Nothobranchius furzeri: one gene and its partner. The protein of the gene in region 1 purifies or fractionates together with the protein of each later gene. This does not show direct contact. Links are inferred from orthologs where the notes say so. Each region holds a gene or a part of one and is shown on either strand. Other genes may lie near its edges.

What was found.
Region 2: the proteins of clcn5b (region 1) and tmem9 purify together in Homo sapiens (co-immunoprecipitation; 3 studies listed by BioGRID and IntAct, with this or other methods). This does not show direct contact. The link is inferred for Nothobranchius furzeri from reciprocal best matches to the Homo sapiens genes CLCN5 and TMEM9.

Annotation. Positions count from the first base shown.
Region 1 is NC_091742.1:77,378,518-77,388,876, forward strand, and holds part of clcn5b (H(+)/Cl(-) exchange transporter 5), read left to right. Parts: intron 1-5,850; coding exon 5,851-6,020; intron 6,021-6,436; coding exon 6,437-6,536; intron 6,537-10,122; coding exon 10,123-10,310; intron 10,311-10,359. UniProt on the Homo sapiens protein: Proton-coupled chloride transporter. Functions as antiport system and exchanges chloride ions against protons. Important for normal acidification of the endosome lumen. May play an important role in renal tubular function.
Region 2 is NC_091755.1:26,869,657-26,880,462, forward strand, and holds tmem9 (proton-transporting V-type ATPase complex assembly regulator TMEM9), read left to right. Parts: upstream 1-5,335; 5' UTR 5,336-5,473; intron 5,474-5,649; 5' UTR 5,650-5,670; coding exon 5,671-5,760; intron 5,761-6,089; coding exon 6,090-6,181; intron 6,182-8,352; coding exon 8,353-8,461; intron 8,462-8,547; coding exon 8,548-8,679; intron 8,680-8,773; coding exon 8,774-8,914; 3' UTR 8,915-9,622; downstream 9,623-10,806. UniProt on the Homo sapiens protein: Transmembrane protein that binds to and facilitates the assembly of lysosomal proton-transporting V-type ATPase (v-ATPase), resulting in enhanced lysosomal acidification and trafficking.

The DNA of each region.
Region 1 (10,359 bases):
TGTGATTTTAAAGAGCTTGTTGGACTGCTTTTAGATCTCAAGCATCTGGAACTGGTTGTTCAGACTGACTCTTGTTTCCTTTAAAGTTTAGACCTTTATTAAATGTTACCTGGGTTTTGAATGAGACTTCCTTTTGTTGTTGCTTCGGCCTTTCATTTAATCTCAGAAGAGTTTAATAATTAAGACCGTTTACTGCCCCCTCAGGCCCTGTGTCATGTGATCTGTGTGAGTGATGCGGTCGACATTGTAAAATCCAAGCACTCTTATCTCCTTGTGTACTTTGTGTGTTTGAAGCTTTAATCTTTTTTTGTATGGTTGGTCTGACCCAGTTTTTTTTTAAGTAAAAAATTTGACATTTATCCTTTTGAAGTAAATATATTGACTAACTGATTAAGAAGCATTGATTTTAACGTGTTTAGCTAATGTAGAAGTAGCTTCTCAAGGCTTCACTTGTGTTTAGACTATCTGAATCATGTTGAAGGAGCTGCTAAAGTGAAGCCTTAAACAGGAGTCACATTCATACCATTTTACTGTGGACACAATATAGTTCTCCATGTTTATTTCAAAATAACTTGGTCTCCTTTCAGGCAGTCTCTGAGCAGTACTTGGACTTGTAGTATTCATAGTTTTACTGTCACGGAGTCAGTGAAGTCACACAAGCCTCAAATCAGAATATTGTTACGCTCTTCAAAACTAAACCATTCTGCTTCAAAGTCCACTATAATACACAGAAGTTACATGCTGTTTAGGACTAGAATGGATAAATTCCTAATATTTATTCATTCTAATGGTGTTCTCTTAGGCACATTGTGATACGGCAGGTAAAAGCTTGCCAAAAAATAAACGTCTTCAAGAATCTGTACTGTATCACACTCAAGGAGGCGATTCTGACCGGTTAGATTAGTCTCCAGATTAAACACGTGACCATTACCCCACACATGGGTTCAACTACAGAACTGTCACAGAAGTCAAACTTTAAACCCAAAGTTGCACAAACTGCTTTTCTCTTTTTCATAACCCATACTCAGACTTTCAGTTGCACTTCTGTAGGTCTGGACTCAGGTTGTGATTTTAGTTTTTTTTTTTACAGTCGGCTGACTGCTTCATTATAAGACTGTAGTATGTTATGTAATATAGAAGTTATAAACTTTACACCAAAGCCAATGAAATCGCCCTCTCGCCTTTTATTCTGTTGAACGTTACTAATTTTTTTCATGTAGGTGAGACACTTCAGGCCCTAGAGAACATATTCCTAGCATGACTGCGTAATTTGCTTTTGTCCGTCCAAACCACTCTAACTTGCTCTCTTATTGTGTTTAATGCCTGGCTACATTCCTCTTCCTGGATGGAGTGGTGCTCAATCTTTGACAGTGTTTTGAATGAAGGGAATGTGACAGAAAGCTTGATAATTCCAGAATTTCTGGACCTGCTGGAATGTCAATACATTTTGCAACAGGATTAGGATTCATTTCCTCTTAGAAATCAGCTAGATCAAATTTGGCTAAAGCGATTGCTTTGCCTTTTTACATTTTTTTTGGTGGATTTCCATCAGTATTTTCTTTGATTTGAACTCTGAGTCAATACAACCTGAAGAGAATGTTACCTCCACCATCTTTTACATTTTTATTGTGACTTCCATTGACACAGAAATATAGGTTTAATCTAGTCCCAAATTATTGTTTTATTCCTATAAAAACTCAATTTTGAGCTTCAAGCAAAGCAGACCTTTTGTCCTGTTTCTGTTGGGTCCTGGTTATGGCTTCTTACTGGATGTGATCATGTAAAGAACATATTTAATGTTCTGTAAAACATTAGAAAAACACTATCTAATGTCAAAAGTTACTTTGGTTATCTTTCCAGGTTTTCAGATAACTAGCAGGTGTTTAAAAATACTAATCAAGGGAACTGGTCAGGCTTCCCTAAAAACATGTGGTTTTGGAGTCACGTGACTCATTCAGTACCTAGTTGGAACAGTAATAGTACCTTTGTTTTCCTCAAATATCTTCCTTTTTTTAAATGAAAATATAAAGTTTAGACCTGTTTGAATAAAAGGGCTTCGACCTGTGTTTAACATGGATAACGCCCTTTAAGGGTAGGGTAACATCAGTGGCGCAGAACAGTTTACTCAGGCTTTGCGGTGCATCAGTCCTCGTCAGGGGAGCTTCTCAGCCGCAGAACGACTTCTCCGCCATCCTTGCTGGACTTGCATGATCGCAAAATTCCTCGAGACTTCATAAATCGCGGTTTGTTTATGCAGTCCACCATTAAACCAAACAGAAGAAGATGGCATTTGATATCACTGTTTGATATCCTAAATGATGTTGTTCCTCTCCACTGCCAGGGTTAAAGCCATGAAAGGCAAACCGATGCACTTCTCGAACGATGCAGGGAGGAAATAAGCTGTTGGGTCACGCATAAAAGCACAGTCTACGTAGATAAGAAATAGATTCTCTGCAGTATTCTTTTATTTTGACATTTTACACTGAAACCGTGTGTGATTTCCTGTATAGCCCGATGTTAACTGTGGAAATGAATGTGTCTCTGAAGCAGCTCTCAGCAGACATAAAACTCAGTCTTATCTTTGGCTATGCGCTGCTGCCTGTTTGGATCAACCCATAGACTAATGGGTTTTATTTGACGCAGCTACGTTCTACTGCCGTTCTGCCACCACTGATGCCGCCAATTTGAACCCAAGGTAAGAGTTCCCGGCAAAAGCTGTTCAAGCAAGCTACATTTTGAAAATGGACAATTCAAAGGTTAAAACCCCTTTCCTTTTCCAAGTCACGCCCAGGAATGGGCACTGAAACTCTGTGCTTCTTTAGTACCATCTGAAAACATTTGTTACTGGTACTGGAAAAATGACAATCTTTGCTAACTTTGGGTACTTTCCCAATATAAACTTATGTTAATAAGCCACACATCTCATTCCTCCTGCCGTTGTGCATCATGTGACCAGTGACGTGACCAGTGACTCAGTCACGTGATTGGGGACGCTGGCAGCTCTCTCAGGGAAGCAGCTTGTTTGTTCAAAACACCTCTCTTAAGATTGCGGACTAAGAAAATGTCAGATTACCAAAAAAGTGTCATTCAGGTACAGGTGGCAAAAACCAGGTATCTTTAAAGTACCACTGTTGAAAAAAACTAAAGGTACCATACCCTAGCCACACCTGTAGAATACAAGAGAATGCCGGACGGAGTAGATAGGTCAACAAAAACCATAAAATCCAACGTCATCTTACTCATTAAGACAAAACTGAGCCACCATGGTGTGGGTTTGCAGCCCTTTTTGCTCCTTCAGTGGTCATTGGGCTGTTTGATGGATGGATATTAATCCAATCATTGGGAACAGGACGTTAACAAACATTGGTTGAGGTTTTTCCATGATTGTGCATATCCGAGGAAAATTATAAATTTTTTCACTAAATTTCATTCATTGGTAGCCATCGGTATGTGACTATTCTTTCTATGTAGGGATTTCATAACATTTATGGCACGGTCACTTGTAGCTTAAATTGTCAATTGGGGACAAATAAAGTTTTCTGAGTCTGAAGAGCTTTTTAAGCAGAATGCAAAATCTGTGCTCCAGAAAAACATGTCCTACCCCACCTTCAGTAGGGGGCTGCAGCTGTTTCATTGTGTCTTTGCTCCAGATTCTAGTCGATGCAGTTTTGTTGAGGAGAGTCCTATTTTTATAACAATAGTAGGTAACAATACTTTGCTCCAGTGACTTTTTCACTAAAACCCTTTATCAATGGTTGCGTAGCCACCATGGTGGAAACAGTACACCCAAGGAGTGGGAGGGTCACGGTTCGGTACAGGTTATGTTTTTTTTTTTTTTTTTTTTTTTTTGTCTAAACGGAGTACAAGGATATGGTTTCTTTTTCATCCGGTCTGACCTGTAAAATAGGGCTGTGTGCTTCACTTACTGATTCAAAATAACAAGTTATACAAAACGTGAAAATACAAACTAAATGAAAACACTCATCAAGCTTGTCTTTTAGGTGAGTCCTACAGCAAACTGCCCACTGTTCTCTGCTAGAAGAAGACATTAAAAATCCAAGACTGTTAGCTAGCAGCATTGTGTAAAGCCCGAGTCATGCTTCTCCGTCAGCTCCAAAAGGGAGAGACACGCATGCACGGACGGAGACTTTTTGCCCTCATGCTCCTCCGTCTCTTGGGGAGTGTTGCAAAGCAATTCTCCACCATGACAACAGAGGGCGTAGCGCTGTTCTGTGGTATCCTGTCATGTATCGGTCCAAGATAGTGTATTTATATTGTGTTTTTTGTATATGAGACTTTTTAACACAGACAAATTTGTCTCTCATCCTCCTCCACCTTTTCATGCGCTCGCCACCTCTAAACCCACGTTTCCTGTCATTTCCGTCCACAAATAAAATGCTTTCTGCGCATCTTTTCACTCCTCCAGTCACGGGGGAATTAAACATTCGTGTTTTAGAGTTTTTTCGCGAGGTATTCTTGAAGCTTCTCCGTGTCTGCCGCTAGTTATCCTCGGCATTCTTTATGTTTTTGAGGGCGCAACGGCGGCGGTGTAGACTACAGCGGTGCCCTGACCAATCACAAGCTTGCGTTGTCCGTCTCGACGGACGGATGTTTAGAAAAGAGAGCTCGACTCCGTCCGTCCTTCCTCCAGCAGGCCCGCAAGGACGGATAATGGCGTTGCATGTCTCCGACCTGACGCAGAAGCATGACTCAGGCTTAAGGAGGAGAAGAGTGCTACATGAGGTCTTCTGGAGAGGAGGAGGGTGTTCAGTAGCAGGATGCTGTCCCTGCAATGCTCCATGGACCACACACTGTTAGATTCCCTGGCCACGCATGAGGGACTCAGCTGATTGGATCTGTGAACTGCTTTGATTGAGGTTTTGTTTCCTGTTATAAGTGTTTTTATTGTGTTTTAGTAACTTATTGTTCGTGTGAATGACTGCAGCTGGCCTTAAGGCCATTTCCTGCTGGACCAATAAAGTTTTTACCTACCTATTTACTCACTCTGAGATCTAAATCACCAGGGGGAAATGGTTTTTGGGTTCAAACAGCAGGAAAAGAATGACCTAAATATTAGAAAGTTCGTTTCAAGCACCGTTTTTCTACATTTTTTTGGGATTCTGCTTGGTGTACATTTAGTTTGGATGTGTTTGGGTGTTAGAAGAATCGTCGTATGCTAAACTCACTTTTTACATGTTTTGTGCTGTGGTGTGTGTGTGTGTGGCTACTTCCTCTATAAACTCTCTGACAGAAAAACAGATCAGTGGTTGTCTGTCAGTGTTTGAGCTCCTTTTAGGTGGATAATTCCTAAAACCAAACAGTCCCTGTTTGTGGGACTTCTACCAGCATCATAGAGCCATCAGGGTAAGCTGGCCAATCAGCATTTAATGTTCATGTCCCGACAGAGTGGGCAGGGCAAACTAGTCTTTCTAATGTAGAGCTTTGTTATGGGGGTTGTGTTTGCCCATTCATCGGGGCTCCTGGGCCATTGTGAGCCTCAACAAACTTTCAGATTGCTAAAGAACAGTTTACAGCAGTGGAAATAGCTTTTTCCTTATTTGAAAAACCCTCACAAGCCATAAAAAGTTTTTTTCCCCCAATTTGAAAAATTACAACCCCCCTCTGGTCACACTTTACACATGCCTGGATAAAAGTCTACTAAACAATTATAATCATGGAGCAAAGTGAACACACATAAAGGAAGTTGTTCGTCTGATACAAACATTGAGAAAAAGTGTCGAGACCCGTTCCAAGTAGAGCCGTTCCTTACAGGAAGTGATGATGGAAAACCAGGAGCGGTTCTTTAACTTTCTCTTCCCCTCCCTGATTCCCTCCTTCTCTCCCTCCCAGGAGGTTACGATGAGTACAGCAGCAGCAGCAGAGCCGGTATGAACGGGGGCGGACCAAAGAAGCTGGTGGACCTTCTGGAGGACCCTCTGCCCGGCGTGGGCACGTATGAAGACTTCAACACCATCGACTGGGTCAGAGAGAAGAGCAAGGACCGGGATAGACATAGAGAGGTACCGGAGCGGCACCGTTTGGACTAGTAAAGTCTGTTGGCCAGCACCAAGACCTGCTTTTTCCTTGTTTTTCTGATGATGCTAATGAAAGGGAAGCTGCTAAAGCAGTGATGGTGCAGCTTCATCGATCAAAGGAAGGGAAATCCATGAGTTACTGCGGCGAGAGTGGGGACATTAAAACCAGAAAAGAAGAAAAAAATAACATGATACACATCTATCTGATCTTCTCTGTGATGGTTTATATTTTTACAAACTTTTAGCTCAATCAGCAGTTATTTTTTTCTTACATAATTTTACTTTAATGCAGCTAAATCATGGTGAAGTGGTGATAAATTCAGTCTTAATGCAGGATCAACCATGAGAGTGCACACATCGCCACCCTGTATGACCTGGCTCTCTGCATGCTTTCCTCCCAGATCACCAATAAGAGCAGACAGTCGACCGTGGCCCTGCTGCGCAGCCTCAGCGACGCCTTCTCGGGATGGCTGCTCATGCTGCTGGTGGGACTCATGGCAGGTAGTTAGAAACACTTCCTCCTGTCGGTAAGCTGATGCTTTGGTTGGAAAGTCTTGGTTTGAGGCCGCTACAGAAGTCTGATTGAATCTGGAAATACACAGGAACAAAAATACTTGTGTACTAAAACATACACTCAAGTAGGGCTGCTCAATTAATCGAATTTTAATCCCAATTACGATCTGAGTTTTGAACGATTATAAAAACAAAACAAGCCGATTATTTGCTCCTCCCACTTGCGCTGCCCTGAGTTGCAAATGAAGCGCTCCTCCCAAAGTGTTGCCAACTTAGCGACTTTGACGCTATTTCTAACAGCTTTTCAGACCCCCTTCTTGACTTTTTAAATCTTAAAAGTACCTAGCGAACACCTCAGAAACATCTCTGGTAACCCTTAGCTACTTTCTGGATAACTGTCGTCGACATTTCCTGCAGGTTAGCTAAACACTCCGCCTGCGCTCCGGACCGTTCTTCAGGACATTAGGAAAGGGAATGATGTAGTGATGTGTCGGTCGCTAAAGAATCGTCTCTCAGAGCTGGCTCCCTGTTGTATTAACCAGAGTGAGTGACACACGCCGTACCTGCAAGCTCCTGACCCCAAAATTCCACTATCTCCGCTCCGCTCCGGCACGAACTCCGCAGCAAAAACGGTCCCGTTGTAATCAATCAGAGCTGTTCCACTACTGCGGCCGTGCGCCGCCCGCCGTTCCGCCATCCGGCAAAAATGGGATTGATTGATTCTATTTTTGCCGGACGCCGGAGCACCTCCGCAGTGAATGGACAGAAACCACAACCGCCCAACAGGAAAGGGAGCAAGCACAACTTCCGTTATTTCACAATAAATCGATAACAAAAGGCGTTTTTTGTTTCATATGCACAGGTTTAACAACTTTTAACAACTATCAATGGCGGTTGAACTTTAAATGCACAAAAATGAGCCATAAATACAGTTTCTACTATCAAAGTAGTCACACTTTGTCGATCCAAACACTGCTGATCTCTCAACACAAATGATGGGCAGATTAAACTGTTCATGCCGATGCTTCTCCCACACAACGGGTGTTTGGATCTAACTTCCGCGTTTATTGCTCGGACTGTATCGCAAGATCTCGAAAATCCCGCGCATGCCTGTTTGCGCACCTCAGGTCTCCGCACCGGAGCGGAGCCGTTGTAGAGCGGGTACCAGTATAATATGAGTTCAGAAGCGAGCGGCAGCGGAAAGCGGGGGCGGAGCGGAGATAGTGGAATTTTGGGGTAAATATGCACGTGCGGAGCGCTAAACGCACGTGCATCTTGCCTCTGATTGCTGTGAGACCGGGTTGGGGGGTGCAGCTGTGGTTGGGACAATTATTACATTAACTGATGGACTTGTAAATAAATAGTTTATAAATAAGGTAGAAATAAGTTCCTCATGCTGATAAATAATAACTAATCTCTCAGAGGACACGGTGCTTGTGTACTCTCCTACAGCACCTTGTCATGACTTCAATAAATGTTACGCAACATTTTGTGAACATCAATTTATTTGCATATATTTGTTATGAATGCCACTGTATAATTCTTGCTGTCAGTATTTGCAAGATATTGGTATTTGGGTCTGTACTGGTTAGACTTAAATGAGTTAAACCAAGGTCTATAGCCCTTGGGTCATAGACTATGAGCTATAAGTATATTGGTCTTTTTATACTGGGAATCAGGAGTTATTTTAGTGATCATCTTGTTTCTTATTTATTTTTGTCCTGATTGTGCCTTGAGCAATTTTATGACTGAATAAAAACAAATAAAATCAACATAAATAGAAAAATCGTCTTAAATAATCGAGATCTCAATTTCAGTCACCATAATCGTGATTATTATTTTTGCCATAATCGAGCAGCCCTACACTCTATAAATGTTTTCCATTAAGTTTTCTCAAATGTGGAGTTTTAGATGTTTTGACCTCTGAAGAGCTGGTCATTTATTAGGTTTAGGTTCTTAACTCATTCACTGCCAGCCGTTTCCTGATCTCTAACGGCCTTCGCTGCCAGCGTTTCTAACCGTTTTTACTGTTTTTTAAGAGTGACAGAACGTTGTGCGCTAGGATGATGTCGATGCCAAAACAATCAAAACAAAGAGGAGACTCACCTCTTACATCAGGAAGAATCCGTGTGTTTCGAGCGTTATCCGTTCTTTCATAATCCGTTGTTGAATTGTGATCGGCAGACGCTTTTCCGGTTCGCGCCTCACTTTTTTTACTGGAACGGCCCAAAACGATCTCCTAACACATGGATGGTCTGCTTCCTGATCATGTGACGTGTGACGTATGTGGATGAAGATCGGCTTCAGGGCCATGTTTGTTCTCTCAACGCGGGGGCTCGTTCTGATGCTCAAACAGTAAAAAAAATGCAAATGACGACTTTAGTCGTCATTGGCAGTGAATGAGTTAATTTGGGCTTGTAGGATCTCAGAAACATACTTTTAAAAATAATTTACAATTTATGTAATTATTTTGATTTTTGAAATTATTTTAATAATGAAATAATTTATTAAGTAATAAAAATCTATTGAAAATAATGTAAAAAAAATTCTAACAAAAATTCATATTAAATAAATTGTAAAAAATATTTAAGATAAACAGAATAAAATGGTGCAGTACCAAAAGCCAATGCCCTCATTATAGATACCAGGTTTTAGGTTATTTATGTGGCTTCGCCAAGGGTCAGGGTGGGGTTTTGAACCATCAGCCTTGCTGGCTGATCTCCACAAAGACCACTAGGTGGCAGAATGCCCTTATTCTGGCTTTTATGGCATCATAAATGTACTTTTAGGTCTGAGTAAATCAAACATGTTCAGATCTTCTACTCAGGGCTTTTCTTTCACAAATGCTTTGAAGGCATAATTTCCTTGTGTGTGTTTTAGGTCTGTTTGAGGATTATGGAGGGTGGTGTGATTTAACAGCTAAGCCCCAGGTTCCACCATATATGTGACCTCTGGACAGCGTTCAGACCAGCCTCCATGTTTACAGGGTTTTTATACATCGTATTACAGAAGCAGCAGAGGAGATGGAGAACCGTTCCTAACAGTTAATTTCACCTGTGGTAGGGAAATGGGCTCAGAGCTACCGTTGGATTGTATTTAACAGGTTAGGCTAAGGTGAGGCGGCCATATTGTTTGTGTGTCCCGCAGCAGCCCGTCGATGCAGCTAGACACTTCATCTCTAGGTTTTTATTAGTACATCTATTCTAGGCCTATTTTTGAGCGAAGGCCTTTGTCTTGAAACTTTTGGACACTCCTGGTCTATCGGCATTAATAAGCATGTTCGTGGAGTCTAACTTATCCTGAGTAGTGTGGACGTGGCCTGATAAATCCTACCCACGAGGTTCCTCAAACCTGCAGAGACTGGACCTATTTAGACTCTAGCTCCTGCAGCAGCAGCTGGGGGTGTCTAACAGCAGGCATAGAGCCTGAACAGTAGATACCTGCTACACCCAATGATTACTCATCACTTACTGCTCTACTTTCTGTGGAACAGGCAGAAACATTAACTTCTGAAGATAACATTTACAGTTCTGTGTGTTGCTCCTCGCCCTGAACGCTCCCTCCTCTCCTCCAGGCGCCCTCGCCGGCGGCATCGACATCGCCGCCCACTGGCTGACAGACTTAAAAGGTGGGGTTTGTCTCATCGGCTTCTGGTTCAACCACGAGCACTGCTGCTGGACGTCCAACGAGACTACCTTCCAGGAGAGGGACCGATGTCCTCAGTGGCAGAGCTGGGCCGAGCTCATTGTAGGAAACTCGGAGGTAGCTGCAGCGAAGCTTGGGGTCCCTCTGCTGGCTGCCAGGCGCCATT
Region 2 (10,806 bases), on another chromosome or scaffold:
CACACACACACACACTCTTGTAACTCAGATAGAAAAAATTGACCATTGTTTCCGCCTCATTATATCAAGGTGCATGTGCAGAAATTCACACTCAATATCTTTTATTTCTGGAGAATCTTATTCATTTAGGTCTGTATTTGTTGAAACGCCTGAGGCTGTCCGTTGAGGCACACCACCACGCTGCCATGTCACATTTCAGCAAACGCCAAAACAAAGGAAGCTGAGTCGCAGTGGCGTTTGGAGAAGGTGGCCCCTGCGGACGAAGTGCATGCTGCCTGCAGATGTGGCCTGCAGCTGGGGTGCGGATCACGAACTGACAGAACAAGGAAGCTGCTTCAGATGGAGAGGTGCTGTCTGGGCCACGGTGGCTGAAAAACACCTCAAAGTGTGATTTATTTTCATGGATTAAGGACACAACAACAAAAAAAGGGTTTATTGCAAACCTCTGTGACTTTTACCTGCTTAGGAAGAGCTGACACCGACACAAGACAGATTTACGTGTTTGGTTTTGACTTGATTAACCAGATGTCTCACTTACTTGTTATTTTTCAAGTGGATGTTCACATCTGACTCTCGCCAAACCTTATTAAACAGACTTGAAGCCTTTTATGTCCTTTTAAACCAGCAGAAAACTTCCTTCCTCCCCTGAAGCTATTTATTTAACTTTCAAGTCACTTTTCATTCACTGCCATTGTTTTAGCTGTCCTCCAACCCTGCATATTTCTGGAAGCTTGCTGTTATTTGTATTTTTGTCTCACTGAGGCGTCCCTCAGAAACAGCACGGAACGACGTGTCACAGCTCAACTGAGGGCATCATCTCTCCTTTGTCGTCCATAATTTTAGAGGTTCTTGTCTCTCTGAAGCTCAGATGCTGGGTGAGATCAGACGAGGGAGGGGGATCGGATGCCTTTCCTCTCTGTGTCCGTCATGTGTCACGGCTTCTGTTGGGTTTTGTGTTCTGACTGGCTGAGTTTCCAGCGGTCTCTGTTATCCCTGCTGAAACTCGGCGTCCCTCGGAGGCAGGAGACCCTCTCTCCTCAGCATCCATTTCAGCTTGGCTCAGCGTCGGTGGACTCTGCTCTCACCTTGCTGACACCAGCTCCTCAGCGGACACCGTCTTCCTCTACCTGGGCTCAGCTGGCTGACGGGCAGCTGTCTGGATGGATAAAACAGAACAGAAATGTTCCCTGAGTCACCACCACCTCTGTTCTGACATCTTTACTTCTGCCTCCCATTCCTTATTTTTCTCTCTTTCACCCTTGAACATGTTCAGAGTTAACATCGACACATGACTTTAATTATTCAACCTAAAATCTAGAACTTTGGCTCAAACAAGTGAAATAATAGTCCTTGTTTGATTACCACGAGAAAGCAAAATTCAGTCACAGGGGTCCAAAACAGGCCAGTGGCTGATGAAGACAAATGTGCAAACACATGTTGGCAGAATTGCTTTTTGGTTGAGCGTGATCGGCTACGCTCAGGAGGGCAGAAGCTGGAGTTGTGATTTATTGTTTAGTGCTGTCCCTGGACCCCCGGTGTCTACTGCCTCCCACCACTGTAATTACCATGTGTGTGTCTAATAGAATAGTCCTGCAGCCCACAAAGCATCACCTCAGCTAAGAGGAGACGAATCCCTTCTGAGATAGAAAGTCTTGTTATTCAAGCGACGTGCTCTCCAAAACCATGAACGGAAGAAAAAGATGGGTGGAGAGGAGCTCTGATCATTAGATAAAGGTCAAAAAGAAACATGCAGAAAGGTTAAATGTAGGCAAAACAGAATTCAGGATGCAGACTCTTGTCACCCCACAGCAGGAGGGGAATCATTTGAATTACACTATTTATGAACTGCAGGTAAATATTAGTGATTCTGACATATTTTAAATCAGCATGACCTGCCTTAACTAACTTCTCCTTCTTGTTTTTATTGCAAGTCCAGCATCTTAACGACCAAGTTCTCTAAAGTCTGCTTCCGTAATATTTGGTGTTTTACCCTCCCAGAGTATTTCCTAGTGGGCAAACGGTCCCGCTGTTTTTAGTTCCCTACAAATAAAATAAAGCTTTGAATGATGGGATCCAGTCAATAAAAAGCAGCCAGACAGATGATTTGCTACTTCCTGGTGTTGTTTATGGGATGGGCTTTTTGTTGTTTGCTGCAGTGTGATGAATCATTTTAGTTTGCTGGTATATAACCAGGTTGTGTATGCGTGCCGTGTGTGTGTGTGTGTGTGTGTGTGTGTGTGTGTGTGTGTGCGTGCGTGCGTGCGTGCGTGCGTGCGTGTGTGCATGTGTCTGTGTGTGTGTATGTGCATGTGTATGTATGTGCGTGTGTGTATGTGTGCGCGCGCGTGTGTGTGTGTGTGTGTGTGTGTGTGTGTGTGTGTGTGTGTGTGTGTGTGTGTGTGTGTGTGTGTGTGTGTGTGTGTGTGTGTGTGTGTGTGTGTGTGTGTGTGTGTTTATGTGTATGTGTGTGTATGCGTGCATGCATGTGTGTGTATGTGTGTGTGTGTGTGTGTGTTTGCATCCCCACCTCTCCCAGGTGGTTATTTATATCTGTTTCAGTACATTTTTTCTCATTACACTTCCCATAAGATAACCAGAAACCCTTTTCTTCTTCTATCAGAAGGTTTTTGCTCATTCTGCCCACCCTTAGCCTGATCACCTTTTCCTTGAGAACTCTGAACCGATAATGAGACGTGGCACTGAGCAGCGGTCAGTGTCATTTATGCTGTAATTGGCCTGAGGGTGTAAAGGGCAGCCTCTCATCAAAGAGCACAGAGAACTAAGTGTCTTTACGCTGACAGAGGTGAAAGATGGAAACTCACTGTAGGCAGAAAGCTTCAGGAAATCACCACCTGAGGAGATTTCTTTGTAAAAAAAAAAAATAAACAGAAAGAATAAATGGTGCACAAGTAAGTTATGTATTCAAAGGAATATTAAAATATCAAAAAGCGATGACATTTTAATCTTATTTCAGTAACAACTCAAAGTACCATGTGTTCAAATTAACTCAATCTTGTCAATTAACAATAAAAAAATCTCATTACTTATTAAGACAGAAAAAAATTTGAGTTTTTATTTTCTCCAGATTTGAACCATAAATGTGGCTTCATAAATATTCTAATATTCATCAATTCATCAGTAAAAAAACAAGGATTTTCCAACAGCAAACATCTTCCTCCCTCATTAGGTTCTGCTTGGTGAATGTCACGATCTGCCCCTGCCCTCCTGACTGTGTTCCTCTCCTGCCTTGATTACCCTTATTGTTCCCACCTGTCCCTCATTAACCTGCCCATGTTTCCCTATTAGCCCTCTGTATTTATACCACCGGTTTTGCCCCTGTCCTTTGTCAGATCATTGTTGTTGTTTCAAGTCATCGTTGTGTTGTGTTGTGTTGTGTTGTGTTGTGTTGTGTTGTGTTGTGTTGTGTTGTGTTCCTGCTGTTCCCGTTCTGTAATTAAATTCAGTTTTATTTTTCATCCGTGCCTGGTCTTCTGCCTCCTGAACCCACCAGCACCACACATGGTCCCACCATCTCCACCCTCACAACATGACAGTGAACCGTAAAAAACTACATTTCTGAGATACTTTTCTAGAAGAAAGAGGGAATCTTACCTTCACCCCGTGGAGTTTTAGAGTCTCCAGTCATTCATATTCATTAATTTATTGCTCTGTTTACTTTTACAAATTATTCCCTACTTGCTTGAAGCAAATGCATATAATCTGATGGACCTAAATTCATTTGAATATCTTTTATTTCTCCAAAATATGTGCAGAATTAAAGAGTCGTTGGCAGTTTTTATTTTTTGTTTTGTTTTGTTTTGTTTTGTTTTTTGTCAGCTGACTGGAGGGCTGCATGAATGATTGCAGATACACAAAGCAGGTGTGGTTTTGCTCATGCTGATATCATGGCTCATTGGAGAAATAACCCCTGTCCCCATTGATCCGGGTGACCAGAGGCTGGAATGGTCGGGGCGGAATTTTTCAGTGATTGATTTTTACTACTTATAGGTATGAGTGTCTTAGCGTACAGAGAAATGTGAAAGCAGGATTACCAGGAAATAGGTGTATTGGCTGATGATTCTGGGGCTTATTTTACAAATTAATAAAGGGAAGAAAGAATAGGAATAATAACTTTTTGTTTTTTCATTTGACTAAATATTGAAATGATTTTTGTTAACATTTTTATGATAGTTGTTACTTATATTTAATGCTTGTCATCCAGGTAATTGCCGGTCCATATAATGCTAAACTATGTGGTTCATTTGGTTTTTTAAAAACCTGATATGCTTATTGTGTTGTAGGTGGTTTTGCAGTTTTCTCTTCTTTTATATATTTAATGTATTCAAAGTCACACCTGTATGAATACTGGAGTAATTTTGTTTTGCTTTGTTGTTATGTGTGTGTAGCACTTTCAGTCTATGATTGTGGTCTCTGTGCATTTTATTCCTTGTTATTTATGGATTTTTGTATTTTTATTACACATTTATTTTTTGTCTACCTTGATTATTTTATAACCTGCAGCAATAATGAACACCGTGTAAATTTTTATCTTGGAGATGAATGAAAACATTATTTTCTGTTCAGTTGATCCAGATACATGTTTGCTCATTTGAACAAGAAAACAAACTGCTAAATTAATTTAAAAAGTGGTTTTGCAGCGAATGTAACTGTGGATAAGTGAATAGTAGTTGTGGGTGAAAAGAAAAAGTGCCACCTTTATTGCTCTCATTTATGAATGCCACACTGCTGAACAAATGTCGCCCTCTTGTGGCAAATTTAGGTTGTTTTGTCATTTTGTTTGGGTTCAAATAACATTTGAGCGTACTAAACGCAAGAAAGCAGCTTATTTCCACAGGGGAGTGGAAAAAAATCCTTATTCTTGAAAGCCAGATACTAAAAGATTAGTCACATAAATCCCTTATAGACAGCGTATGTGGCCATCAATCACCTTCATTTGGCAGCGTATTCCTTCTTGAACTCATTTAGTTTTAATATAAAATGTCTGTTGTTTTGGTATTCCGTGTTTGAATGGTTTTATAAATCGTTTAAATTTCATCTTGTTCCCTCTGTATCTTCTTTTTTATTATTATTATTAATTTTTTGTAACTATTGTTATTTTAATGTTTTTATTTTTATTTTTTGTATATTTGATTAATATACCTCCCACCAGAGGGTGTTCCTCTCTTTTAATTTGACATCTTGAAGGGGGTGTGAATGTTTGGATTCGTGTGTTGTTCTTGGAATTTATTATTTTGTTCTTTTCTGTTTTGTTAAATAAAGTTTAAGAATTTCAAAGTTATTTTAACATTTCACCAGCAGGAGGCGCCATTACCCCGTGTTCATGGGAGGTCAGTGATGATTCCGAAATCCGGAAGTTTAGAGTCAACTTGACGATTTTTTTTTTCAGCTGCAACCAAACCGCATGTAGCAGGATTCTGGATGTTCATAAAACAAGCTTTTCTGCTGTTACAGCGTAAGTTAAATATGCCATTATACGCAATAGCATTTTATTTTAATTTCAGAGTCAACGTTTGACGTGATATTTGTTTCATTTTTTGTGTTAGCCTGTTAGCTAACTTGGCTAGGTGCTAGCTTGCTAGTTGTATGTTTTGTTTTGACACTGTGGTCATTTGTGCTGTCGTCGTGCAGCCTGTTGTCCTTTTAGTTGAAATGCCCGGCCGAGGTGGATCCTGGGTCTTTGTTCCAGCCACATTAGTGACCGTGCTGCTGCTGGAAACTGCTGTTCCTGTTCAGGCCAAGGTAAAAACAAACCGACCATTTTATGTCCTGTTAGAGCTTGTTTTTGTATTATTTTGATTTTCAGTGTCAACTCAGTAACTTGTGTTACATTATAACAGATCTACCCTTTATGTTTTCATTGCATATTAGAGCAAAATCATAAATCAGTGCTTGTCAGAGAAAACCTTTATATGTGTGTGATTTTATCTTCAATCTACCACTATATTAAGGTCACATCCTTAAAAACAATGTTGCATCTTGTGCAGTCAAATATGTGCAAAATATCTTAAAATGCATCGTGGATCAATGAGAAGACCCAATCTTTAATTAACTTTTCTTGACTGTTGCAGAACTTTGAGGATGTGCGCTGCAAGTGCATCTGCCCACCCTACAGAAACATTTCTGGACACATCTATAACAAAAATGTCACCCAGAAAGATTGGTAAGGAACTTTATTGCGACAAAGTATCCTTTTAGGAGGGTGAGTTTGAGCAGCCTGCAGGAAGGTATTGTTCTAATTATTTTATATTAAAGGAGTCATCACCTGAAGTTTTCACTTTTCCACTTGAAAAACTGTAAATATAATGATTTCCTAATTATTTTTCACTGGCCGGGAAGCCGATAATTTAACATTTAACACTGATCATTTTTTTACTCTTGGTTTCTTCAACCAGCCCAGGTGCATCCCCTGAGCCCCTTGAGTTCTGGCCTTGATGTTGTCACAAAGGCAGGATGTACAGTACCATATATGGACAACGCAGAGCAACACCGCTATAGCCCGCACTGCTCTGCTTCCCCTCAAATTCAGTCGAGCACCGCCATTACTGAAATCAGGAGAACGGAAAATGTTGAAGTGTGTTTCACATGTGAGCTGCTCAGTTGTTGACTGCAAACTCCACACAAATGTGTTTGTTTTACCAAAATCAGACCAACCCAGCAAACATTAGTCCGACAGCAAGGCTGTGAAATATGTGGAATTCACGGCCAGAAAAGACAACTAGTCGTCGTTAAAAATATAAAAATAATAATTTGTAATTTCAAATATTAAACTTTTATCGCTCTGACGTAATTTCAGCTGTGATCAAGGGTCCAAATGTTTGCTGGGTTTTAACACCATTATTGGTAATAGACATTTTTTTCAGTTAACAAAAGTTGTCGAAGAGAGCTCAGTTAGCAAGACACCCGACTTACACACAGAGAACCCGGGTTCAAATTCAGGCTGGGACATACGAGATTCTGACTCAGATTGCAATTATTTAATTTTTTTAAATATGTTTTTTACTGTAATAAAGTAATAAGATGCTCAAATTTTTATTGTTAGACGTCTAAATGAGATGCGCTGAAAAACGTTGAATTCACTGCCAGAAAACACGGTGGTTTAATTTTTTTAACCATGACGGGACGTCTCGGACTGACGTCGTTTCAACGGTCACGGGAAGCTGGGAAGCTTGTGGATTTCTTTTATTTTTAACAGCGCTGGAGCGTGAGATCGATAGGCGGATTGGTGCAGCGTCTGCAGTGATGCGGGTGTTGTATTGGTCTGTCATGGTGGAGATAGCTGAGCTGGAAGGCAAAGCTCTTGATTTACTGGTTGATCTACGTTCCCACCCTCACCTACGGTCACAAGCTTTGGGTAGTGACCGAAAGAACGAGATCACGGATACAAACAGCCAAAATTAGTTTTCCCCGCAGGGTGTCTGGGCTCTCCCTTAGAGATAAGGTGAGAAGCTCAGTCATCCGGGAGGGACTCAGAGTAGATCTGCTGCTCCTCCACATTGAGAGGAGCCAGTTGAGGTGGCTTGGGCATCTGGTCAGGGTGCCTCCTGGACGCCTCCCTGATGAGGTTTTCCGGGCACGTCCAACTGGGAAGAGACCCAAGACACGCTGGAGAGACTATGTCTCTCGACTGGCCAGGGAACAACTTGAGATTCCCCCGGAAGAGCTGGCTCAAGTAGCTGAAGAGAGGGAAGTCTGGGCATCCCGGCTTAGGCTGCTGCCTCAGTGACCCGACTCCGGCTAAGCAGCTGAAAGTGGATGGCTGTTCCTGAAACTCTCCCCACTACTCTCGATGTCTGTGCTAGCCATTTTAAGCCAGAATGCTTTATAACTTTTGGGGCTATATCAGGCGAAGATGGCATTGAGGATTCATCTAGAATGAGGGGAGATTCCAACACTGAGAAACTTACCTGAAATTCAAACGGTAAGGCAGAATTTATCCGTCACAGGCACTTTATTTTGGAGAGAGATGCTGAAGCGAAACATATGGTGTCAACACCCCTGCTTCCTTCCACCAATCAACTCATTTGCATTATTCTAATGTCCTTTTCATACAGCCAAAATATCGCCTTTGCTCTCGCGAGAAAACGTCCTTTACAAAAAAAAGGGTCAGAAAAGCACTTTTTGATTTTTTTTTTCCAATACAAATTATGTTTATGACCTAATATGACGTAGATACTTGTGATGACTCCTTTAATAAGATAGAATCATTTTTAAATTTTGACCTCATTAATTGTTTTCTTGTTCCAAAGAGATATAATCCAGCCCGACTTTAATCTGTTTATATTCTATAACCGTGATGTGCCCAATGAACGTAACGTTTTCATGTATTTACAGTACGTGCCTCCATGTAGTGGAGCCCATGCCAGTTCCTGGTCATGATGTGGAAGCGTACTGTTTGTTATGTGAATGTAAATATGAGGAGCGGAGCAGCAACACCATTAAGGTACAGCTGACTGTCTCTGAGTTTGGTTGTTTCTGTTTTAGCCCAGTATCCTAAACGTTATTTGTTCTTTATGTTAAATGTTTCAGGTAACCATCATCATTTACCTGTCTGTTGTGGGTGCACTGCTCCTCTACATGCTGTTTCTGCTCCTGGTGGATCCACTGATCCGCAAGCACGACCCGTACACTCAGCCTCTGCACAACGAGGAAGACTCCGAGGTGACCAACCAAAGAAACGGCACATTTCGAGCATCTGGTACATTCCAGTTTTTACAAAGCTGTGGATTGAAACAGTTTTTATGTGTGTGTTTAGGAGATGCGTCCTCGTGCAGAAAGCGGGTCGGCCAGAGGAAACACAGTTCTGGAGCGAGTTGAAGGGGCACAGCAGCGCTGGAAGAAGCAGGTGCAGGAACAGCGCAAGACTGTTTTCGACCGGCACAAGTTGCTAAGTTAGAGCTCTGTTGAAGGCTTTAAGGGTTAAAGGATGCAACCTTCCCAGTTCTGTGCTGTCACACGGTCACCAGCTGAGTTATCACACACCTGGTTGTCACTGATCAGCACCGCTTTGACTGCATTGCTGTTTCCTCACTTTAAAACATTTCACATGTTCGTCTAATTCATTGTCTTATAATTTATAAGGTAACTACTGTAAGCTAAGCCAGCTGAGTGGAGCGTAAACATCTTTTGCACACGCCATTAGTACATTTTCTCAGTCGCTTCTAGGAATGTCAATGCTGCTGCTTCAGATTTAAATTATTTTAGGGTTGTCATCCTTTTTAAAATATTTGTAAATATATATAAAAAAGTGTTGCATGATTAAAGAAGAAGTTGTTTCTACAGATCAGCTTGCTCACAGGATTCTACAGATGTTAGTTTAGTTGTAATTTATTGTTTTTAAACTCAGACTTTTTCATTGTTTGCACTAAGGATCGTTATTTTTTGGGTAGGTTAAATTTCTGTTGCTTCTTTGAAACTGATTGTCCATTTTTCCAGCTCTTTGATGCAAAAATGTATTTTATCAAACCATCACAATCTGTGGTCTTTTGCATGAAATTCTGCATCTGAAGTTTCAGTTTTTACTCCTAATGGAGTTTATTTTTGTCTTTGTTTTGTTTCTTAATTTGATGTAAAATATTTAGAGTTACCGAAACCTTTTTAGATGAGGAAAAAATTCTACCGATGTGTCGCACGGCCGCTCTCAATCATTATAAGATCACATGATGGAATGTTTAATGGAAGAATAAAAATCTATTCCCCCAAGAGATGAAATAAAACAGAATCAGTTCCAGGATGTGGTCATGTTTAGTTTTATTTTCCTCAGGCTGCATATTTATCTTTAGCCTGACTCAACAAAGCTCAGGCTTGGGCTAAGTGTTTAAATAAATGTAAGAAAAAAAAACGTGTATTCATTCTTTCAGATGTTTGGAGACTTCATCTTTAGTACAAGCAATTATTTTATCTGCCACCAGGGGGCGACAGAGTACACCGCCATTAAAATAAACGCCACGATGACGTTACCACTAACATGTCAGAGAGCAGATGTCATCCAACGTGTGTGGTTTGCATAAAACTAATACAAGTAAAAATATTTTTATGTGAATTAATGAACATTTTTTGTTTCCCAGAATTATGTAGCTAATTAAATAAAGTAATTAATAAACATCCTTCCTACGTTATTAAAAGGAAGGAGGTCCCTTTTACTGTTTTGCTGCACCAAACGTGCATCATCTACTGATAATTACAGCATGAGAACATATTGAATGCTTATATTTAATAATTCATGTGTGCAAATGTATGCATGTGAAAGCCAGATTTATCATCAAAGTTTCTCATTTAACAAAATATCCTTCATGCAAACACTTCAATAAGTGTGGAATTCAAATCTTGCTCCCAGGAGAATATTTTCCAAAAGAGCCACATTGTTTACACTTTAGATTTGGTTTGCTGCTGCAGGATGATCCCCCTAATCCCCTTGTTTTTTCTGCTCTCTGCTGCCCCTCCTTCCACTCTGCCCTCTAAACCATCCCCAAGCATGGCCTGCCAGTGGTTCACAATCTAAATTTAAACTGCTGCAAGGCCAACTGCTCTCTTCTTCCAGCTTCCCTGAGCTTCTGTTATTTTTCTCTGCTGGGGTGAGCTTTTTTCTGTCAGAGGCCCTCAGCCAGGGGAGAGAGAGGGAGCCAGAGAAGAGGGCAGCAGGAGGAAGACCAACACAAGAGAGGCTGATCTGGAGCCCTGGGGGCGCCACTAAAGGAAGTTACATGCTGCATCAGAGAGTTTGGGATTTTACATCAAGAGGAAACGTATTTTCTGGAATTTAAAGTTTGTGTAAAGTGAAGGAATCAG